Linked DNA regions of Rhinolophus ferrumequinum. The protein of the gene in region 2 purifies or fractionates together with the protein of the main gene of each other region. This does not show direct contact. Links are inferred from orthologs where the notes say so. Each region holds a gene or a part of one and is shown on either strand. Other genes may lie near its edges. The genes, in order: POLR3F, KPNA2, POLR1E and HECTD1.

Region 1 (7,270 bases), on a different chromosome or scaffold from region 2:
ATGGGCTCTTAGAGAAGAAGCTCTGGCCCAACCTGGGGATTTAGGGAGGCTTCCTGGAGACAACAGCAGAGCAGAGTCTTGAAGGACAATGAGGAGTTAGTCTGCGAATGGGAAGAAGGGCTTTCTAAGCAGGGAAGAGAGCATCAGCAAAGGACCTGAGACATGAAACAGCATGATGTGGCAGGGAACCAAAAACAATCTGTTCCCTCTGAAATGATGGAAGATGAGGTGGGTGAGGTTGGTAGGGGCTCAGTGTAGTCAGCCCATGAGTTTGGAATTGCATCTCTAGTGTTGAGAGGGTTTTTGTTGAGAAAGTGACTTGGTTAGATCTGTATCTAAAGACAGATCAGGCTGGCTGCTCTGAGATAGATGGAGCCGGGAAAACTACTTAGGATGCACTGTAATAGTCCAGGTAAAAGCCAAGAGCCTAAACACATGAAGGGGTAATAGGAATGGAAATAGGTGGACAAATTTGAGACTTGTTTAAGAGCTAAAATCAGTAATACTTTGTGATTTATTAATAATTACTCCTTGCTTAAAATTCTTCAATAGCTCCACTACTACCTATTGCCTATAGTCAATCGAACTGGCAGTAGGTGGGGTCACTAAGGTGATGAAAGAGAGGGAGTTGCTGAGGACGATTTTCAGACAGAAAAGAAAAGGCTGAAAGGGTGGTCAGAGGACAAAAGCATTTTCCATTTCCACAACCTCCCAGCATCCCTTCCTCTATCCTCCTAGATTTGAAGACCTTCACCATGGTGAACTACCTAGAAATCACCATCAGTCCTTTTTTCCTTATGCTAAAACTGGGGTCGGCAATCTGGCCCACTGCTTGTTTTCATAAGTAAAGTTTTATTGGAACCCAGCCACACCCATTTGTTTATATGGGTGGCCCATAGCTACTTTCCTGAAGAGTTGAGTACTTATGACAGAAACCATATAGTTTACAAAGCCTAAAACATATACTATCTGGCGCTTTATAGAAAAAGTTTGCCACCCTGAGCTAGAAGGTTGGAAAAAACAGTTTGACAGAAAGTTCACCTGTCCTCACACCTCCATATCCAGAGCCCTTGGATCCAGAAATCCAACAAAGCTGGTAGATTTAAAAAGCAAATAAGCTTTCAGATGAGTCCTCAGTATAGAAATCTTTTACCTAGTTGCTACTAAGACAAACTGAAATGCTCTCAAGATATGGGAGTTTTGATGATGGGTGAAAGGAAGTAGGAGAAATAGGTAAGAGCATGTGGCACACTAACAGGTGGGGTGTTTTTAGACAGTAGAGAATGACATTAGGGCCCCAGGAAGAGATAAGAGCAGGTATACGAAATATATCCCCCTGATATATAAGAGCAGGTATAACAGAAGAGGTAAGAGCAGGTACAAGGGCTTCATTGATAATCCCATCTAAAGTGTCACTCGGGGCTGAGCCTGCACTTCCACCCAAAGGCCCAGCACTGTTGATATTCAACGGGACTCATTCTCGCTTCTAGAAATGCTCACTGAGATTGTAAGAGTGATACCCTAATGAGCTGGCTTTGTGATGACTCACAGAAAAATCAGGGGAATGTATTTCGTATGGAAAGGCCCAATATCAGCAGTAGGAAGAAAACAGAAGATGAGAACAGACTATGCCTATGTGCCTTTAGGTATCTTAGCGACAATTATGTTAACAAATACAACAGTGAAAACAAAATACATTTATTTCATTCATCTTGTAAAATAATGCATAATTACTTCTTCTTTGCTCAGTTCTGGCAGTCTGAGTTGTTTCCTGGTTTAGAATCTTATCAGTCACAACCTTCTAACGTTTTCATGACTAATAACAGAAGTAAAGACAATCGTAATATATAAGTAATTACATGAACTAGTTGGATTCATCTTACCATGGACAAAAGTCTATTGATGGCCACTGCCCGCTGCTGGGCTTCTATATGAGGCATTTCATTCTGAATTACTTGGTCTGTGATTCCATGAGGGAACTGGTGACATAATTCTATAATCCTACGAACAAAGATATTAATGATATTACTCATGTTTTTACTTATTTCAAGAGACAGTGGGGGCAAATACTAGCAGAACAATTTGAAATTGTGTCCTTTTTACATTTGGTACATAGTCTGGCTTCTATGATGGTTCTAAATCAACGCATGTTAGAAATTGAGGAAGATGTTTTTGAAATACGTTTACATTATTATTGTTATTTAAGGAAAATATGTTTTCCTCATTAACATAATCTTTAAATTAGAATAAAAGTCAAATGAAAACACAGAAAAAGATATTAACGCTGCGGCTTCAATTTTTTAAGATGCAATAAGTATGACAAAATTAAGATACAGCATTGGGCAGGTATAAGTCTGCAAGCAGGAGTCATATCAGACATTTCTGGTGGGAAGCCAAAATTGGTTATAACAATTCACAATTGGGGCGTGGTTTTGGAATTATTCCCACCAAACAAAAATAAGCCCATTATCTTCCCTCTGTCACAGGATCATCATGTATGTTATTCATAAGTTTGAGGAAGTTGGGATCTTTTCAAACTATGTGGTAAACCTAAAAATAGCAGTGCACTCATAGAGAATATAACATCAGGAATATAACATTTGACGTGCCCTAAAATCTTGACTTAAATACTGCCCCGAAATTATTTTTGGATTAATGTTGCTTCGTAATCACTAATGCACTCTAACTTCGCCCAAACGTTCTGTCCTGACAGTTCCCATAGCGATAAAGGCAATCCTGTATGAGAACACGTATCCTCAAGCACCACGCAGAAACACCGAGTTTTCTCTGAGCGTCGACCACCTTAACGCAGGAAGGAAGCGCATCATCACAACTTCCGAACAGCATCCGGACACCGACACAAAGTTGCAAAGTGTCAAGCTCGTTTTAAACTTATTAAGAGTTCTGCTGTCCACAGGTGGAAGGTGTTCAGATCCGGTAATCCCCTTCCTGGACGCTCACTGAACTTGCTCCAGCATCTACTGACTGTCCCGAAAAAAGTCTGCCCAAATGACCGCCTGCCTGCGTGGGCTCCCGAGCCGGGAATCGAATCTCACTGATTTACCTGTTTTCTATTTCGACTGGATCTGCGTCAGGCGGCTGCATTTTCACCTTCACTTCAGCCATGGGACGCAGTTCCCACCTCGGGGGAAAAGAGACGCACGGAGCAGCCAGATAGCGAGCTGGGGATCCAGAAAATCGGCAAAGACAGCTTCAGGCGCGGGCGATGGGTCTTTTTCCTCGTGTCGCAGACGGTCCTTCCTTGCCTGTGGGCTTGAGGTGCCCAAGCCACGCCTGTTACTCGTCACTGGCTGGAGCCGCTACACCTTATTCTTTTTTACCAGAATGTCAGTGTCTGTCAGACGAACGAGCCTGGTTCCATCATTCTGAATTGGAACGCCACTTTTTAGCACTTTCCAATCTCTGTGAAGGCATATTCTTGGATGCCTATGTTGAAACCTTAGGAAAGGAGATTCAGGCGGATTCCCCTCTCCTAGCCAAACAGCAGGGCGGATCTGGTTGCTAGGAAGCCGGATTTCCGCCAATCATCTGCCCAACTCAGTGGGCGGGGCGCAGCTCCCCGCGTCTGTGGTAACCCAGACCGTGGCAAAGGAGAAGGCAAGAGGCAGTGAGAGGTGGGTTTACTGGCTGCCAGTGGCGGAGGCGCCTTAGGGGTTACAATCTGGGTTCCGGTAGCCAGAGGAGGAGGAGGGCATTCCTCACTCCAGCCGAAAGGAAGCAGGTGTTTCTGGCTGCTCCTGATGGGCGGGTACGCAGACCAGACGGGGCTCCAGATTTGGATCCGGTGGCAAGCAGGCAATGTTGTTGGGGTTTGGAGGTGCTGTTTATCCTACCCTCCATTTGGGCCTAGCGGATTGGTCTCCTTCTTGATCCTCTTCGCTTGGGGCCCATTCGCCGTCCCAGCCTCCCAAGGGCAGCTCCTAGTTGCCGCGCGCGAATTACTTCCTCCTCAACTATTTTTACTTTGAACTGATTTTGAACTACTTTAACTGCCTCTCACATAAATGGAAAGTGAGGACTGACAAGCCTCCCTAAACCAGCCACCCTTCTGTAGGGGCTAGTGCTCTATCAGTATTTGCAGTTCAAATTCTTGGCCTCTGACCTGGAGCTATATAACCAGGCATTAAGATCACTCCTTAAATTTAGTTATCCCAGTTTTGGGAATACAGCCTGTGACAAAACTCACGCCACAAGAGCATCGTTATTTGGAATTGTAACAACCAAAACTAAAAAGAAACTAGTTATATGTTAAATGCCCAACCACATATTGATAAATAAGATTATATGAGTAGGTGGAAAATTGTAAATAACAGAAAAATTGCAAATAATAATAGAGCGAGGGTGCAATAACTAGACTGTAAAAAAAGAATGAATATATAGATTATAAATGAGCAAGACATGTATTCATAATTTGAAAAGGCTATTTAGAGATGTAAATGGTTGCTGTATTAAGGTGAGGGTTATTTTTTTCCCTCTGAATCCTTTAGGTATTAAAAATTATGACACCTCTCAGGAAAAAGATCAGTAAGATCTCCACACTCATACTTAATTATTTATAAATATAGTAGATGGAGTGGGAGACTTTTGTTACCTGTTGCTCACTGTTTATGTTGGTACCAACTTCCTTTCTGCTGAGGTGTGATAATCTGCCATCCTCCTAAAGTTTCTTTGCAGGTAACAAATGTAAGTACTTGGCTACAACTGCAGGACCCTGAACCTGGAGCTTTCTCAAAGGACTTGGCTCTAAATGAACATACTACATGCTACTGTGTTTCACCGAAAATAAGACCTAGCCGGACCAGCTCTAATGAGTCTTTTGGGACAAAAATTAATGTAAAACCTGGTCTTATTTTACTATAAGACTGAGTCTTATATAATATAATACCTTATATATAATATAATATAACATGATAAGATATGATATGATATAATATAACTTAATATATAATATAATATAATACTGGGTCATATATTAATTTTTGCTCCAAAAGATGCATTAGAGCTGATGGTCCGGCTAGATCTTATTTTTGGGAAAACAGGGTACATACAGTGTTACTTCTGTTTTTCCTGTGTGATGACTTGCCCTGAAGCCAAGAGAGGTGGGAGATAAATAAGAGTCAGGAAAGTGTAATAATAATGATCCAGAGGAAGCTCTGATGAGATCATTAGTGAAGGTCTCTGTTCTAATATATTCATTTAATTTGGCCATTTAAAATAATTCCATTCCCCCATCCCATTCATCCATGCTCTTTTCACAGAAGTAAGTATTTAGATAATCAAAACAACACACAAGATCTCAACAGCAAAAATACAGCTGAAACAATAATTATTTCAATTAAAAATTGAATAATATTTGTAGGTGATATATTAACAGTATTCTCTTTAGCTTTTTCTAGTTTTACTATATTTTTGTAAACAAGGTGTTTCTCTTCAGCTTTTGTGTTGAAATATAGGTGGCCATTGGAATTTATTTTCATACACGTTTTAAAAATATAAGCAGGGAAAATGACTGCTGGTTCAGTGTGTGTTCCTCAGATCATACCACTGCGAGTGCCTCAGCCTGGAAAAGCCAACCATGAAATTGATAACAATACACTTTTGGAAATGAAATCAGGTAAGAATCAAAAGTACTCGAAATCGTTTAAAATAATATTGCCATACTCTTTATGTTCATCTGGTTGTTGATTTACCTCTTTGCGTGTTTTCTATAATCAGGACCTTTGGAAGTTTTTAAAACTTCCAAAATTTGAAACAGTGTTACTTGGTGGTTTGTAGAGTGGTGTGTATTTAGAGTGAAACAATTAGCTTTGATCACCCTTTCATTTGTATAGGTCCATAGTTGCAGCAATGCCTTGACTCACCTTCACCAAGATAAGATGCCTGGTACCATCCCAATAATGAGGATGCTCATTATTTTGCTGGGATAATAAATTTGATGTACTTATACAGGCTTTCCAGTCAGACAGGTTGGAAAATGAATCCTGGCTTTGACAACTTCTGGTGATCTTTGGTACATTACGTAGCCTTTCTGAGTCTCAGTTTGCTCATTGTAAGTTAGTGATAATATCTACTATTTAGAACCATTGTAAGGATTAAATGAGTTGATGTGAGGTACACAGGGTCTAGCATATAGTAATGACAAAATATATCTTAGCTATTATTACAGAAATAAATCAGTGAATGAATTCCCTACTAATGCCAGAAGTGTGTGTGTGTGTGTGTGTGTGTGTGTGTGTACGTGTACACACACACCTTTATGTACTTATACATAACATAAGAAGGAAGGAAAGTTTTATAGATAAAGCATGAATAAATACTTGTTTGAAACAGACTTTGAGATTCCAGTTACATACTTTAATAACTGATATGTGTGAAAATTATTTATCTCTAGTTATGTTACAACCACTATGCTTCGTAGACTGAGAGTTCAAACTAAGAATATATTACATTATACCCTGTCTCCTTTATCTTAAAAGCTAATATTTTTTAAAATTCTCAGAGCAAAATACAAATTTTCATATATTTGCCCATGATTCTTAGATGTTGGATGGTTATTGACAAATGATGATATGAATGAGAGGGTATCCAAATTCTTTAACATTTAAAATGTCTAATAAATAAGAGGTTCTACAATTCAGTGACAAACAGAATAATAACCCAATGGAAAAATGGACAAAGGATGTGAAAGGACATTTTATAGGAAAGGAAATATAAATGTCTTTTAATCATATGAGAATACAGTTCTAACTACCCCTTTATCTGCTTGCTGAGCAGACCTTATCCCCTGCTTTCTTCACTCCATTGCATTTAATCACCAACTCAACAGAAAATATATAATTTTTGCTTTTTGTATGTCTACTTTACTGTTTGTATGTCCTTCCTAAAACAGAAGCTCCATTAGAACAAGGAGTTACTGGTGTATTCCCCGTGCCTACAATAGTATCTGCCACACAATATGTACTTGGTAAATATTTGTTGAAGGAATGAATGAATCACTCAAAATGTAAGAAATGTAAGTTAAAACTGCAAGATACCTCTTTTTTTAATGTAGGAGATTGGCAAAAACAAAAGAAAAATTGATAACACACGATATGGATGAGATTGTTTGTAAACAGTCACTTTGATGCATTGCTGGTAGCAGTGTAAATTGTTTCAGCATCCATGGAGGGAAGTTTGGCAATATTAACCAAAATTACAAATACACATATCTTTAACTCAACAGTACTAGTTCTACATATTTTACAGATGT
Region 2 (7,060 bases):
AATTTTAGTTTCACCAAAGGAAGATTCTAACGAACACAGGACTATGGCTGGCTTAACCATTACCCACACCATCTATCTCTTTCCAACCAAAAAATCTAAAAAGGCTCAGTTCTTAGGTTACCCATGTATAACAGACAAGACTTACCTAGCAGCTTGAGTAGCTTGGAGCTGGCTTTCCAAATTGTTGCTATTTATGCCTTTGACAATATCCTCAACAGACCAATTTACAGTGCCCTACAAAAACAATGGAATTATCCTTTGTAAGATTAAATACAAACAATAAAATTCCTATTTGCCATTGTGAAGACATTTTAAGGTTTATAATGAATTACTAAATGTGTATTAGCCCTATATTTAACTTTGCCTGTTAATTAAATATTATTTTATATGTTGAACAGTTCTCAAACTTGGTGTCATGACTTACTGGAGTCTCAAGTTACAGAGTATCCCAGCATTTTGTCACTAAAAAAGGTGACTGTGAACAATTTAAAAAATTACAGCAGTCTGAAGGTTATTCCGACATTAATCTCAATCACTTGTATTCAGATACGCTTTTAGGGAACAAGGGATGGAGTTATAAATAATGTGCTGGGGATTTTCTTATCTAACCTTGTAATCGACACATTCCCAAGTATAGCGCAGCAAAGATGTTTTATGTTGTGATCACAGTAGAAAGGTTTGAGAAACAATGCTATAGTTAACTTGAGAAGATGGGATTTAAGTAGAATACTCTAGAAATAGCACATAAGTAGTATTCAATTTTGAATGATAGAATGGGGAGCACTAAAAGAAAGCATAATGTAAAACAATTAAGTGCCCAATTATCTTTGAAAGACGAGATAACTTTGAAAATCTAAGCTGGATCAAATTTACAAAAACAGCCTTCGAAAATAGCGATTTAAAACCATCAAAGTTGTTAAGCTAAGAAAGAATATGTCTAAAGCAGTATTTTAGGAAAATTTTTAGGTAGATAGTATGTGGCATAGAATGAAAAGGAAAATAAATTAGAAGAATACTAACAGTATTTCAAGAAGAAAAAGACATGAACAAAACTGGTGACAAGTACAAACAATAGAGAATAACAAAAGGTAGAAATAATCCAGAAAGCAATTGGTTCCCGACACACTTTCAGTGGTATTGGAATGGCCAGGTCAAGGTACCGAGCTGGCAGCTGTAAACGCAGGGAAACTTGAAGATCAAAACTACAGAAGACCTTGGAATCAGCTTCAACAGATTATGAAGATGGGTAGGAAAGAAAACCCATCAGAATTACTGATTCAGAGCAAAAAGGAAACCTTCACAGATTTTATAGGTAGAACCATAAAGGTAGGAATATTTTCAAACAATTATAAGCTAAAACATATTTACCTGGTTGTTGCGATTTTCCTGCAGTGGAGAAGTAGCATCATCAGGAAACGAGCTCACATTTCTCCTTTTCAGCATCTGGTCATCTTTCTTAGCTTTCCTCAGCTCTACATTAACTTCTATTCGGCGCCGCCTCATTTCCTTGGGAAAAGATAACATACCACTTCACCTAACATTTCAGTTTTTGTTAGAAAGTGAGGGCATTTTTTCCAAATTCCCTCAGAGTTTTGACCCCTTCCCAAATAATTTTCCATTCAAAAAATACTATACAAAAGTAACAGAAAGTACTCACTGTACTGTCTTTTCCCTTGTTCTTGAATCTGTTAAGCCGGGCAGCTGGTGAATTAGCATTCTCGTTGGTGGACATCGTTATGAGACAAAGGGAGAAAGCTATAAGATGGGGAGAGAAAAAAAATGTCCCTTTTATCATTTTGCTTTGTCAGTAAGAAAAGCATTAATAGGTATTTCACACTTTTTTCATACTAATTCTCCAAAATCTTTTGTGTACTTTAACCTTACAGCATTCAAAATTCGGATTAGCCACAAGCCTTTCCTAATATACTGGACAGTGTGGCTCTAGACTCCACTATATAGAGTCTGTAAATAGTTAATTGAAGACAAAGTAGGCGAACTGAGCTTACGGTCAATATCTATGTCCTAGGCGCAAATACATTCAGATTCTCTGGAGGCTCTCTCTATTGTCTTTAAATGGCCAAAATAGGCACATTCTCCACACTTGAAAAATAAAAGAAAAATTTGGTTCATTATTATTACATTATGGAGTCTCCCGTAACATTTCTTGTCAACACTGAAAATTTGCGACACAATTCTGAATCTCGATTACATTTTCATTTCCAGGAATTTCGAGTAAATGCACTTAATTAGGCTGACATTATTCAGACTAAGATACTTATGAGCAATCTCCAAAAGGTAACAAAAGTAAAAGAGCGCCTTACAATTTATCTTTATTCCCTTATGTTCGTTTACGAAATTGACACAGCCAACCCAAGGCCTACGTGTTGAGATAGTTTCTCCAACTGCCACCTCCATCTCTATTCCCTTCCCCTGCCCCCCACCCCGGGGAAGATACAGCCGGTAACCGCCACAGGAGGGGCCAGAGGTACTGGGCGCACTCCGGGACTTTGGGAATACCAGCACGATCGCTAACCAACTGAGCTAATCGGCCGCCCCCTCCCGGGACTTTGACCCTCCGGCCTCACTCTTGTTTTCCGAGCCCCGATGCGCAAAGGATCTTGATGAAACTCGCCGAGTTTCGGCGGCCTAAAGCCCAAGCACTTACTCACTTCGCGGAACAGCCCTTTCGTCAACAAACGACGCCCCAGAGGCTTAGTCAACCAAGGAGGCCAAAGCCAGGCCGGGCGTGTACCCGGAGCCTCGCCTCCCGCCACCCGTAAGCAGAACGCGGCCTGCAGGTCAGCCGTTACCGCTCGGGCCGGGCTGGGACCTGAGTTCGTACCTACACAGCCGGCTCAGGCTTCCACAGGAGACGGCGCAGGGGAGCACAGGCTGCGGGTCCGCTACTCGGCAACGAACACCACGGATCAGCCAGACGACAGTGTGGCTCGAGCAGCCGGCCGGCGCGATTTAAATTTCCCGGTGGCCCCGCATTCTGATTGGCTGGTTCGAGTCTATGATGTGCGTCCATTGGTGGATTTAAAAAACACGTTGCAGCGGGGGTCGTACGGCCTAGCCGTAAAGAGGATAGCATCGCGAGATGAGGGAGCGGCCGGGCGATCCCAGAGCGCCTAGCAGTTTGGAGTGGAAAGACTTCAAATCCCGGCATGCAGCACGAAGGACGGGTTCTCAGCCCAGCCTTGGCCTGAGACTGTGGCCTTTGAAAGGATTTGTGCTTTTGAAGTTCTTGGTCGTTTCCCTGATTAACCAAGTACTACAAATGATTCCCAAAATCATGTCCTTCACAAATGTTTACATAGAAACATATTGCTATGCATATTTTCCCTGATAGGACAGAAGAAACTTGGCAGTGGTTTCTGGCCGTTATGGAGTTACGAAGTAGAGGCATATGGCACATTTGCGTGGCTTAAAAATTTTTTTAAAAAAACTTGCGTCATAAAAGACTGCATAGAAACCACAAATATGGTAACGAAAGGTTTATTATGCCTGTTTCTCTAGACACTTTTATTTTTAAATAATTTCAAATACAGAATTGCAAATCTTTACACAGATTTGCCAAATGTTAACATTTTTGCCACATTTGCTATTTGCTGCTGCTGCTGTGTGTGTGTGTGTGTGTGTGTGTGTATCCGTGTTCAAGTTTTGCCAACCGTTCCAGTAATGTTCTATGCTGTATTTTACACATTTCTGAATAAAATGTTTGTATTTTTGCCACGTATATTTTTTAAAGTATCAATGATGGTTATTAGAGCACCGGGATTATGGGCCATTTTGCTCTCTTTATGCAAGTTTTCTGTATTCTAAAAAGGGTATTTTTAGAAAAGTTATATTGCGATTTTTTTTTTTTTTACTATAAATTCAAACATTGAACTTTGTTCATTCTTGTAGGCATTTGTGCCAGCCTCACTCATTGTGTAGCAGCAATGGGATTCATAGGAGGTTGATTTTACTCCCACCTACTCAATCAGCAGAATCCCATCCCTCTAAATGCAAAAATATGAAAGGAATTCACTCCTAAACCAGTCACCCCAGGGTATTCTCTTGACTACTGTGAATGGTTCAGGGGCAGGCATGTGACCTAAATTCATCCAGTTTGGAAGGCTATGCCTTTTGTTTAATGATTGGAGGTGGGAAAGCAGGTGCTGTTTGCTGTTCGGAGCTGAAGGATATAAGTCCTAGAAATTTGACTAGGACAGTTGTAGAGAAACCAGGAAAGCTCTGATCAACAGCCTGCCCTACCTCTGAAGGCTGCAATTATGACTTTGCAATTACGTCATCCAATACACTTCTTTTGTTGTTTCAGCTAAATTGAGTTTTCTTTTGTTTGCAAATATTAAGTACTATATGCCCAGACATATTCTAAGTGTTTTATATATATTAATACATTTAATCCTCACAATTCTGTAAGCTGGTATTATCACCTGTTCCATTTTACAGAAGACTGAATCATAAGTGGTTAAGTAACTTGTCCAAGTTTACACAGCCAATAAAGGCAGAGACAGGACTCAGACCCAGGCTGTCTGGTTCCAGGATCCATGCTCTCAACCACTATTCTGCACTTGTAGCTGAAAACAACCTACAACAGAAATACAGAGTCAAAAGTGAAAGTTGCCTTTGAAATGTACAATGTTGCCCTGGGGAACCATACATCCTCCACTATTAACCACTGTAGTTTGGAGATTCAGGCCTAGGCCAATCAGTATATTCTATACACCACCCCCGCCCCTCACAGCCACACACAGGGATTGGTTTGGTGATGAAGCCTTAACACAGTGACACTGCAATAAAATGTTTACTGAGGCCTTTAAGAGTGACATAACCTCTCTCTGGCACAGGACTGTGCTGTGATCCTGTGCTGTGATGATGTGACACTGAGAATGCAGCTGCTCTGGAGAAGCAAACCCAAATGTGACCAAGTCAGAATTTTTTGTTTTTGTTTTTGTTTTAAGGAGGGCGCAGCTCACAGTGGTCCATGCAGGGATCCAACCCACAACCTCGGTGTTATCAGCACCCCGCTCTAACCAACTGAGCCAACTGGCCACCCCTAAATCTGAATAATCTTAGTTTGTCTCAGTCATTCTTTCAAGTAAACACTGTGTTCCAGTGAAAAAGTAGCTAGTATAGCCTGCAACTCAAACACTGCACCAATGTTTTCCTCCAGAGACCACTGTATTTTGGTATGCAGAAATGATTATGCATATTTCCCATTTGTCACACAAAATATTTACAGCATGTACTCAAGAGTCAAGACGTAATTCAACTGATGATTCTTATACATAGTCCAGGACATTCTTACGTGAAGCTGGTTCCCCCCACCCTGCCATTCCCAGTGCAGGAAGGTGAAAATACCACTGTTACCTGTTTGGTGCCACTGCCTAGATTCACTAAAGTGTCAGTTTTACCTACCATTGCTTCTGCACCATCAGAGCTAAATGATTCATGAATTATTATTTACTAATAATATCTCAGTTTTCATGAAAAACATTTCCAGGGTGACTCGATGACTCGTGGTCCACAGGTTAACAAAACAGTGATATGACACATAGACACCTAAGATTTAAAAGATACACACCAAAATGTTAATAGTGCTTAACTCTGAATGGTAGAATTGTGGTCAGTTTTCTTCATTTGGTTTACCTATATATTACACAGTTTTAATGAACAGGTATTACGTGTCTAAAAAGAAAGTGAAATTTTTTATTTTTAAAACCCCAAATACAGCATCTTTACATGCAACAAGCATAGAGATATTGTGCATGGAACCAGAAAGTCTCCACATCTATCCAAGACCAAGCTTTAGGATGTAAAAGAAACCCATATATTTTTTGTATTATATGTAGGAAACTTGTTATATCCATTTTCCCTTTAATCTGGAGGGAAGGAGGAGATGGGGAGGAAAATAGATGTAGATGAGTGGGGTAAGAAGGGCAGATTTAAAGAAAAGGCTGTTCACCCTGGAATCCCCCAACAGTCCACAGTACGTAATAGGTTATCAAATTAATGAACGTGGAATACGTGCGGGCAAGAAAGAGAGGGAAGTGGCTGTAAGGGATGGGAAGGTTGGGGGACGGGGTTGCGGGAGGACCTTACGCTCTGCTAGTGGTTCTTAAGGCCGGTGGCAGAAGAAGGTCCATGGGAGCTTCGTAAAATGCAGACACCCGGGCTCGCCCAGGTAAAAAGAAATACAACGGGGGGAGTACAGTCATTGGAATTTTGTTTGAAGTTCCCCAGAAACGCCTAATATGCAACGAGAGCAGAGAACCTTCCAAGAACCCAGCAGGCAGGCACAACGCCGCCCGCGTGCGGGCCACGCAGTCCCGGGAAGAGGGGCAGGGGAGCCACGCGCACGCGCGCCGGGGTGGGCCTGCTGTCTGGGTCAAGGATGTATGAAGGCGCAGGCGCGCGCTGCCGCCGCTGGGGGGGTGGCTCCCAAAATACTCACCGCCCGATGCGAGGCTGCGGAGCGCAAGGGCGGGGCGCGATGATGGCATCGCGTAAGGAGACGGTGCGAGAACCCGGATCCTGTGGTGACCCAGTGGCCTAATGGATAAGGCATCAGCCTCCGGAGCTGGGGATTGTGGGTTCGAGTCCCATCTGGGTCGCACGGAGTTTTGTTTTGGTGGAGAGGGAGACGATGATGGGCAGTGAAACAGTAAAGGTAGATTCTGAAATGTGGTTATTTCACGTCTCTAGCGAGCTCGAGAACCATTGTATTTACAGTTAGGAAATGCATCTCCGCGTTTTAAAAACACTACAGTTGGAACTTTGCAAGAGAAAGAGCTAAGATCTGACTCCAAAGAGGAGCATTTTTCTTGCTTAACTTTTACTGACTTTCAAAAGAAAAAAGCCGACCAGACATATTTCTGTCTTCCGTTTCGTACTGTTTCACCATGGCAGCCACACATGGAAAACTTTCTCCCCATTTTTATCCCAAGGGGTGTGTGAGCAGATCCCACTGTGCTGGCTTCAAACATTTTTTTTCCAGTACTAGAGAGAGTTTATAGAAAAGCAGCTGTGCTGTTACAACACACAAATATAA
Region 3 (7,223 bases), on a different chromosome or scaffold from region 2:
GCCCCTGAAAGTTATAGACCATTCTGGCTGGGCAATCTTCATCGTACCCCAGGGGAGACCGGGGGTCAGTGAAGTTAAAATTGCCCAAAGTCAGACAGTCAATCAGAGGCAGAGCTGCATAGAAACCCTGGAGCCTTTGACACTACCAAATCCTTTCCTTGTAGTTACTCCTAAAGCAAACTTCTGGCAAGCTTTGGCCTACTGATCATACACTCCATATTAGTGAAGACAGTTGCCTTTTGGAAACAAGACAGTTAAAGCTAAGTCCTGGAAATGTAATGTGCTGTATGGTGACTATAGTTAACAATACTGTATTGTATATTTGAAAGTTGCTAAGAGAGAAAATCTTAAAAGTTCTCATTACAAGAAAAAAAAATGTGTAACTATGTGTGGTGATGGATGTTAACCTGATTTATTTTGGTGACCATTTCATTACACACATATCTATCTGATCATTATGTTGTACACCTGAAACTAATACAATGTTATATGTCCCAATTTAAAAAATTTTTTAAAGAATGTTACAAACGAATGAGGTTTTCTTCAGGAAATTCAACAAATGTAAGTCAACTTTCTTTTCAAGAATGTCTACAGGCTGCTGTGACGGCCCCTGCTTCTGGGAACACAGGGACTTGGTAAACCTCTCCAGATTTCCCCCACTTCCCCTAAAGTAAACATCCCCTAAAGTAGACACAGAACAGCAGTCAGTACCAGGGCTGCTACCACCACTCCCCTCCCCATCCAGCTGTCCCTTCCCCTGTCCCTACCTGCACAGAGTGTTGCATTTGAGGGCTCCAGTCCCAAAATTGTTTCCCACGTAGCAAAGTCTGTCTGTTTCAGCTGCCTAAAATGCACAGGGGGAAAAGCTCCATTGCAACCAATGTTGAAAGGTAGTAAGCATCTAATCTCCCTTTTCCACATTTGCAAAAAGCTTTAGAATTCAAACTACAGAAGATCAGAACTACAGAGCCTCTAGGAGACATCCAGCCTCACTATCTCTAAGTGAATCTGGGATGCCCCTGGGGGAAAGGCAAGAGGACTTTTGAAAGGGAAGCTGCAGATTGTGCAGGCTTCTAGCTGGTCTGAAAAGTTTTTGGGGAAGCTGCACCGCAGAACTTGGAAGACAGACCCTGGACTCTCCACACTTACAGGCATTAATAAACTGATTCTGCAGGCAACCTCCTGGGTTCACAGTCCATACCCTTCTTGAACCTCTTTGCCCACCTCTCTCATGACTGTTCCTTATATGCTCATAGGACCATGGAAATGGCTGATTCACTTCTCAACCACAGCCAAGCTTTACTGCTTCACAATGTTTGTCCTCACTATTCTCTTCACTTGGAATACTAAAACCTCAGCTGTCAAACCCTCCTCCATCCTTCCGAGCTCAGCTCCATGTGCCCTCCCAGGGAGACACTCTAGCAAGCAGAGATGTTGATGGAGCTCACTGTGCCTTGTACTCTCCCTCCCTCGGCCCTAAGCTTTGTCTGTTTGTATGAGTGTCCCTCACATCCAGCTCTCAACTCTCTAGAGTTCTCTGCACTGTACTTGCAATGTTTCTGTAAGTTTCTGTAAGCACTGAACTTGCAATGTTCTCTGTCTTTGAGATTGGGTAAAATCTCAAAGACCTTTCTAGAGCAGTAGTAGTTCTCAACCCAGGGAATTCCCACTCGTGGGGACATTTGGTAATATCTGACATTCAGGTTGTCACAACTAGGAGGTACTACTGGTATTTAGTGAGTGGAGGCTAGGGAAGCTGCTAAACATCCTGTGATGCACAGGGCTGCCCCCACAAGAAAGAATTATCTGGGTCAAAATGTCAATAGCAGCAAGGTTAAGAAACCCTGCTCTAGAATACGAGCTCCCGCAGAGTGTGGCCAGGTGGATGCTCAATAAATGCTGTTGAATGAACAAATGAATGAAAGGCTATCGCTTCACCCAAAGTATGGAACTGAATGGAGCCTGTCCCCACACCCCTACCTGCTGGAGCTCAGAAGAATTCTTCAAAGGCTCATTTGCGATTTCCCCCTTTTCTCCTCTCACTCCCTCCCACATCGACCCACACTCAAGGGGTCCTGAGGCCTGCAGAGTGGAGGCAACTGGCCACTGCAGCACTTACCAGGATCCGCTGGGTCCTCTTCCTGGGGTTTGTGGAGTCATTGTTCTTGTACAAGGTAAAGCGCATGTTGCCTGGATCCCGCAGCTTCCCATTGGAGAACTGGACTGTAAGATCACATTCCCAGACGGGATGAGATCAGAAGGACCCACAAGGTATGGTGGGAGGAACTGGACTGTCAGTGGGAGGGAGTGATTGGAAAAATGAACATGGCAAGTAAGCCCAGGTCCTGACTTGAAGTGGGACTGAAGAAGGTCCTGGTCCACTTGGGAAGAGAGGATGAGGAGGTGAGGGGGTCCTGGGGAGGGGCGGCGGCAGTAAGGAATAACTAGGGGGATGGGGCCAACTGAGGAGGCCTCATCCAGACCTAGAGAGCGATGGAATCCCTGCCCAGGGGAGAGAATGAAATGGAACAGGACTAAGACCTCGGGAGTGAGAGGATGACAGGATCCTGGGTACAGTCCTGGGGAGGAAGTGACAGGACGTCCTCAGCAGGGAGGGAGGTAGCGGCAGAAACGTGGTGGGATGACAAAGGAGCCCTGGCCGAGTTCCAAGTAGTGGTGGACAAAGGAGGGTGGTGGGGAGTGGCAGGGGCTCTTGGCGCGGCTGGGAAAGGGGTCCGGCGCGGGGGGGGGGGGGGGCGGGAGGGCTGTAAAGGTACAGAAACGGGAGCGGAAGTTATGAGGAACAGTTCCAGCTCCGCAGTCTTTACCCAGTACAGCTCTCTGGCTCTCGTCGGGCTCCCCACAGTACAGCCACTTCGCACTCGACAACACTTCCGCCGCCATCTCGTCTCTACGGCCGCCAAGCCCGGGAGTTAAGACAGTACGAGCCACCGGCGGGTCGCCACACACTCCGAGGTAGCACAGCGGGCCGGAACAGGCGTGGCCCACAAGACACCGCTCCTTCCGCGCTCCCGCCCCCAGCGCGGAGGCGCACCAATCCCCGCCTGCCTGTCGCCCCGCCTCTCCGCACAGAGGCGTGGTCTCTACACTGTGCCCCGCCTCATCCTTGGACGGCCTCTCGGAGGCGCTCCACCGGATTGGCTCAGCGCTCCGCCTGGGCAAGAAGGGTTGTGTGGGACAAGGGTCCGAAGTTCCTAAAAGTCGTGCTGCTTTTGCCTAACAGTCATGTGGGTTTTCTTCCTGCTCAGCACGATCTACGTAGAGTATGATCTATCTCCCCTATGGTGACAAATATATACTACCAGACCTGAAAGGCCAACTTCAAATTTAGAATTCTCTGAGAGGCACTCCTTGAGCCCCAGCTAAATGTGGCAGCTGGCAAGAGAGCAGTTGGTCTCTAGGGCCTCCATCCACACGTGGACATCCAGTCCTTAAATCCAAGTTTCGTCCACAACCATGCAAACAGCTTCTAGCCCTGATCATTCCTCAGGCCCAGGCGTGCATACACCTGTGGTCCAACCAACCCAGGGAGGATGGACCCTGGGAGAGGCTCAGCAGGCTCAAGAGCATTTGGACAGGGATTGATTCTCCGGTGGACTAGAAGGCGGGAAGTTGGATCTGATGGGTAAGTCCCATAGTCCCTGAAGATTCAACCCTCCACATGGGCAGCTATCAAAGCAGAAGGGCCGAAGCAGAATCCCTAAGGATAGACCCAGGAGGAGGCCCCTTTTGCCCTGTCAAAGGCAAGTACTGTTGCAGGGCAAGAACTCGGATTGACTCATCTCTGCTCTGCAATCTCCTTTAAGATTCATCTCCTCCAGACACACACCCAGGATATTTTGAATAACCCTAACACTGAGCTGCCCTTTGAGTACTTGTAATGCTTTTCCCAATCTCAAACTTACAGGAACATTGCAAGTACAGTGCAAAGAATTTGTTTTTGACCTGAACCTTTCAGAGTAAGTTGTCAACCTGATGACTCATCACCCCTGAAGACTATAGCATTTCCTTAGAAGGGGACATTCCCTAAATAACTACATACAGCCATCAAAATCAGGAAATTAATATTGATATGTGACTACCATATAATCATCATACTCCATTTAAGTTCACCAACTATCTTAATATTTTTATAGCAAAAAGATCCTGTCCAGACTCACATGTTGCATTTAGCTGTCATAGCTCTTTAGTCTCCTTCAACCTATTAATAGAACAGTTCCTTACTCTACTTTGACTTTCATAATTTGACAATTTAAAAGATTACAGGCTAGTTATTTTGTAGAATGTTGCTCAGTCTCGGTTTGTCTAATGTTTCCAAGTGATTAGTTTCAGGTTATGCATTGTTGGCAGGAATATCACAAACATGAGACTGTTCTAACTGTATCCTATCAGGTGGCACACAATTTCAATTTGTCCCATTACTGTTTATATTAACTTTGATCACTTAATTAAAGTGGTATCAATCAGGCTTTACTACTGTAATGTTATTCTTTCTCCTTTGTAATTAATAAGTATTTTGTATGCAGGTACTTAGAGACTAAGTAAATCGTATCCTGTTCATCATACTTCTGATTTATTCACTCATTAATTATATCAGTATGAATTTATGGGTTCCTACTTTATTCAGTAGATTAGAATATGCTACTATCATTTATTTTTATTTTTATGTTCAAACTTTCCCAGATTAGGCAGTGGGAACCCCATCAAGCTGGTTTCTGAATCATCACTAATCCTAGGAGCCTAGCATAGGGACTGGAACTCAAGATACTTAATAATATTGGTTAAAATGAACTTGCATTGTGTTTACACATGGTAGATTCTCTGTATGTGTTGACTGGTTGAATGAAATATGAACAGTTAGATCAAAGTTAAGGGGTGACAAAGAAGACAGGAGGGTCTACAAGGAGTCAATTGTAGTTCATGAGGGAAGTGTCCTGGCCCCTCCTGATAAAGGGACATATTGTATGACCTTGCTTCTCAAAGTGTGGTCCTCAGGCCAGCAGCATCACCTGGGAACTTGTTAGCAGTGCAGAATCTCCTGCCCTATCAAGTCATCTGAATCAGAATCTGCACTTTTAACAAGATCCCTAGGTGATTTCTGTGCACTTTATGCTTGGGAAGCACTCTTGTACAAGACTGTTTCCCTTTCAAGGTGCATCTTTACCAGTCAGACAAAGTCTGTTCAAGTCCTCAGAATTGGCTGTTTATAGCTGGGTGAAAGAGCCAAGAGTACCACATATGGAGTTAGAGCAAAGACTCCCAGAATTACCACAGGCAAGAATTCAAAGTGACAGAGATTCTATCTGGGGAAGGAAAGTGTTAATGACAGGATGGTTGAGACCGGGACTATGTTGTTTAGTTATTTCGCAATGATTCAAAACACATATACACCATATACATATAAATACACATATACATTAAGTGGGACAGGACAATATTTGGTCACTCAGTCAGTGACCAAAATACAAAAAGTTATAGTGACCTCTTCTAAATTCGAATCAGGGTAATCACGGGCAGAATTTACCATAAATGTTTGTTTGTAAATTTGGTTTGGAAATTCATCGACTTCTGGAGTTGTCTCTTAGCATCATTTTTCAGAAGAGGAAAACTTGATATATATTTTGAAAGTAAGGGATGAGGCAGAATCCTCCTTTCCTGGGGTAATATCTCCATCTGCTGGCATTTCAAGATATCGCTAATGAAGGCCTGAAAAGGCAGACAAGATCCCACAGTATGTTTGTAGCCACTCATTGTGTACTGTCAAAAATGTTTCTTCTTCTATTTCATCTTTTCTCTTCCTTTCTTCTGCCTCTGCCTCAATTTTTTATCCCTTTGTTTCTTTTTCTGTGTTTGTCTCACTCTTCTGTTCTCCATTCTGTTTTTCTCTTCCTTCATATTTCTGATGTAGATTCTGTTTGTACACCTATAGACATGGACGACTCATTTCTTATAAGGCAGACTTTTCACCTTGGCTAGGTTTTTCCTTACATGGAGCTGAAGCTGCCTTCTGTAGCTTCTACCTGTGGTGCCAGTTCTGCTTCTCTAGGGCCACACAGAACACGACCAACTCCTCTGCCCTGAGCCCTTCAAAAGCCTGACTACTCTGACCATACTTTCCACTGACCTGCTCCTTTGCTCCTCAGCAACTCTTTCCAGCCCCTCAGCTATTTCACACACCAGAGTTCCTAGGTCTGTCTTCATCTGGTCACCACTTTGGGACATACATTAGTACATCTGGATCTTTTTCAAACTGGAGCACCACATGGATCAATACTCCAACTCTGGGCTGGGTAACACAGAATAAAGAGGACCCATCTCCTCCCTTCTGCTATTTGCCATGCCTCTCTTAATGAAACCAATATGTGAATTTATTCTTAGCATCTACACTGTTCAGTTAAGTTGTTTAGGGTTGATAAACCAAAATTCTTGATTTTGCTTCTGCTAAGTCACATTATCCCTGCATTTTTTATTTTTTTTATTTTTTTAAGGAGGGCGCACACACTGGCCCATGCGGGCATTGAACCAGCAACCTTGGTGTTATTAGCACCACGCTCTAACCAATTGAGCTAACTGGTAACCCCATCCCTGATTTTTTTTAAAAAACAAAGATTCAGAGCTTTATGTGAGGCCTAAGTTTAATCGTGTTAGATTTAGCTTACTCAGATTTTTTTATTTTTCCCAACATTTTTTAGATTTACAATAATTATCAAAGCAATTTTGATGTCCAATATTGGGAAAAATACAGAAAAATATAAAGAATGCAATTATAGTAACCCATGATCCTTTCCCCACCTAGAGGCAAACATTGTTAACATTCTGTTTTATTCCTTTCTAGATTTGTCTCTCTGCATATCTGCATATGTTTATATAACTGATACATTATTGTATTCAATTGTGTATCCTCCTTTTAAAAATTTTTAAATAATCTTGTAAGCATTTTCTCAAATCACACGATAGTCCATTGAATGTTGCCACAGGGTTTATACATCCAATGCTTTAGTTGCTCACTTGGGCTATTCCCAATTTTCTCACTGTTACATGCAACATTACATGAACTTTTTAAGCATAAAAACTTTGTTTGGGTTTTTTTGGATAAATTCTTTGGTTGGGATCCTAGGATTTGAATTAATGAGTCAAAGAGCATGAACATTTTTTTTAAATCTTAATACACTGTCAAATTTGACTCCAAAAATTTTCAGATC
Region 4 (7,692 bases), on a different chromosome or scaffold from region 2:
TTCTATGAATCCTGCTAAAACAAATGTCAAATAAGGGGCTGAATTGTGATGTACTCAAAGTTTGTCAATAAGAAGAGCTAGTTGAAATAAATGGGCTGCTAACAGATTGTGATTCAGAAATTTTGTTTATAAGGATCTTTACCTTAATAGTAGACTGTTTTAATGAGATTTACAACTAAGAATTATTAATTTATTAATTCATTTTCAATACTTATTCATTCAAAAATGTAGACAATTAAAAATACTTTGTCAATTTAGTGAGTAATACAGCCTTTATTGCCACCTCAGAAAAATTAAGATAATTATACCAAATTTTATGTCAACACCTCAAATATTTTCTATTAATTATCTCAAAATGGTTGTTAAAACAAATATAGAAACAAGTGAGTTTTCATTTACTTATTATTGGAATTTAAAATGGTAGATACAAAATGTAAAATAAACAGTAAAAACCAAATGTATTCAGCATTCAGAAGAATGATTACTCAGCAAGTATCACATAAGAGGAAAAACGTGGCATTAATGGCCAATCTAATAATAAATTCTTTTACAGTTTTGCACAAATTCTACAGTATAACCTTTAAATAAAATTGTTTAAACTCTCCAAACTTCAAAATGTTCCTACTATTCCAAAAAGTATACTATGTGGGTAACATCCAATTTATACCCTCCAAATTGAAATTTACAAATCAATGATTTGTTGTAACAAACATATGATGTCATATTACTTAATACCTACAAAGAAATGGGCAGTTGTAAACATATTTTCATTATCATCTATATTTCCACATCAATTTCTTGGTACAGAAATAGCTACGTTTAAAGAAGGAAAGTGTTTGTATTTTCCCAGTTCGTGACATATTTTGAAAATGAATCAACCAAGGTATGGGTTAAAATAGTACTCCCTACTAAACCCTATTCATTCAACAAACATGTATTTGTGTCATGACAATTATCATTACTCAAGTTACTTCACATACCAATTTTTATTTCTCAGAAAAATGTAAATGCAAAACTGCATAAAGTTAAAAAAAAATTGTAAAACTCCCTAGAAAAAATTCTACACAAACTGAAGTCAGCAAATGGCTGAAAACAAATGTCATTACAGCAACCCCAAAGGAAGATGAAGAAGGGATGTACTTACGTTTCAAAACAACGATCCACGTTGTCAGACATCAAAAGCAGCATGCATAGCTGTTCAAGGGCTATTAGTTGCATGTCCCTTTCATCTCCCTGTCCCATCTGTAGCCACTCCAGTAATGTATCCGGATCCACATCTGCCATGGTTTTTTAAAAGCCTCTTTGCTTAAATTAAAAAAGGGAAAAAGTCCTTTAAATGTCCAGGACTGATCAGCTTGGGTTTAAAATTTTTTCCTTTATATCAGCTAGAACCAAATTTTCGTGATGTACTCCTAGGAATTAGAAAAGACTCATAAGTATGTTTAGATATAGTGCTTAACTAAGTTTTTCAACTGCCCTTATTCCTCAGGTTTAACGTTCATATATCATACTAAATAAAAACCAGTTTTGCACAAGAGTATAAGCTGATTAGGTTGCTGCTTAACTGGAAACCAGAGCTGTCTTTGTCAAAGACAGTCAAACAAGCTTCGGATCCCACTACTGCTATCACTAACGTCTGTGCCAAAAGGCAAAGAACACCTTACTAAAGGTTCTTTTTTTTCCAGCAAACCTCTTCCCCCCTCCTCCACCCAAAACTGATCTTAAGATAAAGGTTAGAGTCAGTATTTTGAGGAGAGTTAAGCAGTTTGATCCCATCCCCCTCCAAATTAAGTTTCTGCATTAAAATTAGCTCTAATTTCACAATTCTGCTGACTTCTCAATTTACTTACTGCTATTCTTAAGATCTCCAAATACAAACGATAATTAGATAGAAAAATCTATCTATGAATAAAGACTTGGTTGATTATTTTGGCAGTTTTAGCAACTGTTCTTCAAAGTTTAAAAAGAAATGCTAAAAGTAAATGCAATGAACTAGCTATGTCCCTCTTTCCCCATCCCCGCAGAATGGAGCAGTTGGTTAAAAATATACACCATATACACAAAACAGAGAAGCAGCCCCAACAGGCAAGTCGTTACCAAAGCTTGTAAACTCCCTGACAAGAGGACAGCTTTAGGTCCCACGTAACCCAGCTGCAGGTGTCTGAATCCAGAGGCGGGTACCAGTGGGCACCCAACGGCGGCGACCAGCAGGATGACCCAACACTCCGGGCCCAGCCGAGCCCCGCGCCGGGAGGCGCAGGCACCGCGCTCCGGTTTCCCCGCACCAAACCCAGCCAAGTTAGCTACCTGTGTCTAGGAGAAGGGGGAAGTTCTGAAGGAGAAAAAGCAAGCCTCCGTGCCCGAGAGGAGGCCGCGGGGCAGGACAGCGGGTCTCCCGGGAGCGGCGCCCTGAACTCCCGAGGCCCGGCGGGTCGTCCCCGGCCTGGCCCGGCAGCGAACCCTTCTGAAGGGCAAGGGGGGGCCGCCTTGGGCTCAGGCTCTCGCAAGCCGGGCCCCGCCGCGGGCAGGGCCAGGGGAGAGAAACAAAGGGGCTAAGCGGGTGAGTCGGCAGCAGCCCACCTGACCTCACTAGGGTCCGGGAGCTCTCGCTCCCGGCCCGTCGCCCGGCATCCCGTATCCTGACCCCCCCAGGCCTGGCCCTTCCGACCGCCCAAGGAGCTCCCGCCTCCCGTTCCCTCAAGCTTACCCGGGCTTGTCGTTCCAAACCACTCCAGTCCAGCTCCAAGCAGGCCGCGGGCAGAGCCAGGCCCGGCCGCGGCCCTCGAGTTCCCAGGAAGCCGCAGGCCGCGCAGGTCGAGCCGGGCAGGCGGCACAGGAAAAGCCGCGCCTCGTCCCTCCCCTTCCTCCGCGGGGACCTGGTGACAGAAAAGCGAGAGGTTCCCTGATGGGAGAAAGCCAGCTCAAGTCCAGTCGCCGGCACGCGGCTCCTCAGGCCCCGCAGCTCAGAGGCCCGCGCGGTGCTGCCAGCAGCGGCGGGGGGAGGCCGCGTCCATCGCGATCCGAGAGGGGGAAGGGAGAGGGTCGGGCGAGAGCTGGGCGGGGATGCTGAGCAGGGCAGCTGAGCTCCGCGGGGGCGGAGCAAATCGGCTCTCCTGGCAGCGACCCGGCTGGCCGCCACGTGGGGCGCTGCGGACACCCGTCGGCCAGCGGCGCTGAGGCGCCAACAGGCAGGACGCGTCGCCGCCACAGCCAAGGCGCTCGGGCCCCCGGGGCCTCGGATTCCCTCGGCTTTATCAGCTGTCGCTTTTCTACCGTACGCCGCGGCGCTTTTACGCTTTGCAGTCGATGCGAGCGCGCTCCCGGCAGCCCGCGCACACTGATGCACGCACGCCCTGCTAGTATTGCACGGCGTCTACACGCTTAACGCGCTGCTGCTGAAGGCCCCGTGCTGCACGGCGAAGCTGCCGCCCAAGTTGTCCTTGCCGAGCCTCCAGCCGGGCGACCTGTACTCCGCCACGCGCTTCCCCTCCACCCCACTGGTCACCCTTCCTCGCGCAAGGAAGTGCATCGCGGGAGGAAAAGCGGCTCCCTTCGGTCCATGGATGCAAACTGCGCCGCAGCTCACGGAAACGAAAACCTGTCACCACAAGCCTGGGAAGTAAATAGTATCGAAATTATCTCCGTTGTACAGATGTGAGGACTGAGGCTCCAAAAAGCATAAATTCAGGCCCAGTGGCGTTCCCAGTAAGCAGCAGCACTGAGAGTGTGCTTTTGACTCCTGCGGTTCGTGTTCCTAAGTATGTCCGTGGTTATTCCCTTCAAACATCTTTCAAACGCATTGAAAATAAAATATGCCCGCTTAAAGGACATAATTGGAGATATTTCGGGAGAAACTAATTGGAAGTATGAATATAGCTTTCTTTCTCTTTTTTTTTTTTTTAAAGATTTTATTGGGGAAGGGGAACAGGACTTTAGTGGGGAACAGTGTGTACTTCCAGGACTTTTTATTGGAGAACAGTAATGTGTTTTTCCCAGGACTCAGCAGCTTCATCAAGTTGTCCTTTCAGGCTTAGTTGTGGAGGGCGCAGCTCAGCTCCGCTCCAGATCCAGTTGCCAGTTGTTAGTTGCAGGGGGCACTTCCCACTATCCCTTGCAGGACTGGAGGAGTTGAACCAGCAACCTTGTGGTTGAGAGTCCACTGGCCCATGTGGGAATCCAGCCTGCAGCCTTTGGATTTAGGAGCACGGAGCTTCAACCACCTGAGCCACCAGGCCGGCCTGCTTTCTTTTTTTAAAATCAAGAAATGAATTCCTTGGTTTGTGAGATAAATAAACCCATGCCAGATACTCCCTACCTTTTCATCTTTTAAACAAAAATGAATATTATTAGATTGTGTTTGAGATGTGCTTCTTTAAGCAATCATAGGGTCTTTAAGCAACATAGGGTCGAAGAACCAGTATTTTGGAAATTACAGATTTGCACTTCAGATATCTATAATCACATGTTCCTGTCTTCAGGTAATGGTCTCTAGGTTTCCTGTTAACAGATCAAGAGAAAAGGGTAGAGGATTCCACTATCTTGTCACAACCACAAAACATGAGAATAATTATTTAGGAGCTATGAATGTGACTTGGAGACGCCAGGAAAATCTTCAAGGAGGAAGTGGCATTCTTTCTGGACCTTGAAGAATGGGTAGAATGTAGACACAGCAAGAGAAGGGAAAGATTACAAGCAAAGCCTGATAAGTTCTGAGATAAAGGAAAGAGGACCTGTGCCCCAAGCAAAGAACCCGCATTAAGCAAAGAGGAGAGAAGGCAAGGGCTAAGGTATGCAGGGCCTTAAATGTGGGGGTGGGGGACGCAAAATTTAGGCTGAAGTAACTAACAAGTTCTGGATAGAACATTGACTGGAAAAATTAGAGTCTTAGAAAGATTGACAGAGCAGGAGTGTCCAGAGTGGCTAAAAGGAGCAACCGAGACAAGGAGATTAGCTGGAATGTTGCTGAAATGCTCCAGTAGTGGAGGGAGGAAGAACTTAGGTATTGACAATAAGAATGGAGAAGAAATAAGTATGAAAAATATTTTCTAAAAATATATCACACCTTAAATGATTAACTTCGGTTTGCTTTTTAACCTACAGGGAGGACTTGAAAGCTAGGAAAATGATGATTCTGTTCACAGAAAATAGAAGAGAAAAAGAGACTACTCTTTACTAAGTTTTAAAGTATATTTTCCTTTGTTCCCTCACCATCTCTATCCCTATTGCCCACTCCCTGCCACCAAAATTAATGACTGTAGTATGCTTTAAAGAAACCTTATCAAAAAAAAATGATGACTTTTATTGTGACTTTATTATTATTATGTTAATATTTTAAATTCAAATATGAGATCCCAAAGTAAAAGCATTAAAGGAAAGGAATAAAGCTCTGGAGAAAGCAAGACCCAGATGAAGGCAACTGACCATACTTAAAGGTATGTCCCAAGAAAACAGCATATGTTTACAAGCTAATGTTTCATCTTGATGTCAAAATATAAGAATAATGGACATTGAGAATTGCTATATGCCAGACACAGTGTAAGGCACAGTAAATTACAGACTTCAATAAACTATAAAAGTCTAGGGGAAGGTAACACACTTCCCGCCTCTGCCTCTATGAGAGTACTTATCACACAATATTGTCAGGGACATTGGGAGCATCAAGGAGATAATGATGTGCTCGCCACGGCAGCACATATACTAAAAAAGGAGGTGATGGCATCTCAGAAGCCTTCAAAATGGTATGTGAACTAGATCTCAGATGTTAGATGTTGGAGCTGGCCAGACAGACTTAGGAAGACCATGTGGAGAAGCATAGAGGTGTGAAAGGAACTCCTCTTGGGGAAGCAGAGGGAACAGGCTGCCTTTTGGCCCCACTTTCATGAAGGATCTTCAGTATATATAGTCACTGGGATCTATTCACAGGTTCAAAAAGGAAAAACCAAAATTGAATCTTGTAGTATAGAACAAACATATTTGTATCTAAGATTTGAAAGGAAATATCAAATGCATTCTTAAAATTCACTTACTTCAACTGTGGCATCCCAGTAATAATATTTGGGAAAGTTAGGTGAAGGATATATATATATTATATATATATATATATATATATATATATTATATATATATATATATATATGAAATCTATTTATTTTTGCAACGTTTTCAATGTATAAACTCATTCAAAATTAGAAGTTAAAGAACAAGAAAGTAAATATAGCTTGAGATGATTAATTCTTAGTACTGTCTTCTAGGAAGCACTTTTCTAAAGACTCAAAATGATGTATTTAAAAAGAAATTCTAGAATTTTGACAATTTCTTACAAGATTCACTATATGCACCATATATCACTTGGTAGTGAACACAAAAACAAACAGTTGTAAAAGTTATGCACTTTATATTCCTAGTTAAGTTATTTTTGCTCCAACACTAAAAACCCTTCTATAATTTACTAACTCTTCGTAAACATCCTATACCCTTTGTCCTGAGGAAAATTATTCTTGCCAATAAATAAAAAGGTTGTTACTCTTTATTAGCAAACGTGGGTTCATAACAATTACATTATAAGCTTAGTTAAAAGAAAAATAGGATGGGGGTTGGGAGACTAGGTGAAAAAGGTGAAGGAATTAAGAAGTACAAATTGGCAGTTATAAAATAGCCATAGGATGTAAAGTACAGCATAGGGAATATAGTCAATAATATTGTAATAACTATGTATGGTGCCACGTGGGTGCTAAGTTTGTTGGGGATCACTTTGTAAGTTATACAGAAGTATAACCACTGTGCTATATACCTGAAACTAATAGAATATTGCATGTTAACTGTAATCGAAAAATTTAAAAAAAAAAAATTTAAATGAATAAAAGGAAAGTAGGATCTGATTTACAAAAATTCATTCAACAGAAAATTTTCAAGAACTTGTATAAATATATTTTCTTATTACAGATTTCAAAACTTTTTGGTAGACATGTTTTCAATACAGTTTAGCTGTATATGTATTAGGGGAAATAATTACATAATAATTGTATAATTTTGAAGTTTTCTGGATATTTGCTGGTAAGGATTTTTTGTTAATTGTTTTTGTTTTGTTTTTTTCAAATTTTATTGGGGAATATTGGGGGACAGTGTGTTTCTCCAGGGCCCATCAGCTCCAAGTAGTTGTCCTTCAATCTAGTTGTGGAGGGCGCAGCTCAGCTCCAAGTCCAGTCACCGTTTGCAATCTTGAAATTGAACCGGCAATCTTGTAGTTGAGAGTTTGCGCTCTAACCAACTGAGCCATCCAGCCGCCCATAACTGTTTTTATCTATGATAATTGTATAATGGTTATATTTTCTGAAAAAGAGTTTTCTTCACTTAGAGAAGCATACCAAAATATTTACAGATGAAATGATATAATAATTAGAATTTTCTTCAAAATAATTTGAGGGGTCAGTGGATAGAGTATACCTGAAAGACAATTGGCCATATAGTAAGGACAACTGTTGAATCTGGGTCATAGGTACTTGGGGGTTCATTATACTAGTATGTATACTTTTGTGTGTGTTTGAAAAATCTCATAAAAATGGTTTTTAAAAAATATATGGGAGTCTAAGAGGATAAAGGAAGCAATACTGATATACTGGTTTTGAGACAATCTGATAGAAATGTTTCTTAATTTTAAATTATGACATCATTTAACCTAATATCTATGCAATC

What was found.
Region 1: the proteins of KPNA2 (region 2) and POLR3F purify together in Homo sapiens (co-immunoprecipitation; 3 studies listed by BioGRID and IntAct, with this or other methods). This does not show direct contact. The link is inferred for Rhinolophus ferrumequinum from reciprocal best matches to the Homo sapiens genes KPNA2 and POLR3F.
Region 3: the proteins of KPNA2 (region 2) and POLR1E purify together in Homo sapiens (affinity purification with mass spectrometry; 3 studies listed by BioGRID and IntAct, with this or other methods). This does not show direct contact. The link is inferred for Rhinolophus ferrumequinum from reciprocal best matches to the Homo sapiens genes KPNA2 and POLR1E.
Region 4: the proteins of KPNA2 (region 2) and HECTD1 purify together in Homo sapiens (affinity purification with mass spectrometry; 3 studies listed by BioGRID, with this or other methods). This does not show direct contact. The link is inferred for Rhinolophus ferrumequinum from reciprocal best matches to the Homo sapiens genes KPNA2 and HECTD1.

The regions. Positions count from the first base shown.
Region 1 is NC_046306.1:38,711,249-38,718,518, reverse strand, and holds the start of POLR3F (DNA-directed RNA polymerase III subunit RPC6), read right to left. Parts: upstream 3,008-7,270; 5' UTR 2,848-3,007; coding exon 2,717-2,847; intron 2,002-2,716; coding exon 1,884-2,001; intron 1-1,883. Other genes in the region: DZANK1 (double zinc ribbon and ankyrin repeat-containing protein 1), read left to right, coding at 5,527-5,635. UniProt on the Homo sapiens protein: DNA-dependent RNA polymerase catalyzes the transcription of DNA into RNA using the four ribonucleoside triphosphates as substrates.
Region 2 is NC_046304.1:43,076,542-43,083,601, forward strand, and holds the start of KPNA2 (importin subunit alpha-1), read right to left. Parts: upstream 3,001-7,060; 5' UTR 2,843-3,000; intron 2,101-2,842; exon of another isoform or gene 2,007-2,100; intron 1,756-2,006; 5' UTR 1,733-1,755; coding exon 1,658-1,732; intron 1,507-1,657; coding exon 1,369-1,506; intron 235-1,368; coding exon 146-234; intron 1-145.
Region 3 is NC_046295.1:53,175,342-53,182,564, reverse strand, and holds the start of POLR1E (DNA-directed RNA polymerase I subunit RPA49), read right to left. Parts: upstream 3,017-7,223; 5' UTR 2,905-3,016; coding exon 2,829-2,904; intron 2,224-2,828; coding exon 2,120-2,223; intron 845-2,119; coding exon 768-844; intron 1-767. UniProt on the Homo sapiens protein: Component of RNA polymerase I (Pol I), a DNA-dependent RNA polymerase which synthesizes ribosomal RNA precursors using the four ribonucleoside triphosphates as substrates.
Region 4 is NC_046289.1:80,128,503-80,136,194, forward strand, and holds the start of HECTD1 (E3 ubiquitin-protein ligase HECTD1), read right to left. Parts: upstream 3,014-7,692; 5' UTR 2,708-3,013; intron 1,306-2,707; 5' UTR 1,285-1,305; coding exon 1,145-1,284; intron 1-1,144. UniProt on the Homo sapiens protein: E3 ubiquitin-protein ligase which accepts ubiquitin from an E2 ubiquitin-conjugating enzyme in the form of a thioester and then directly transfers the ubiquitin to targeted substrates.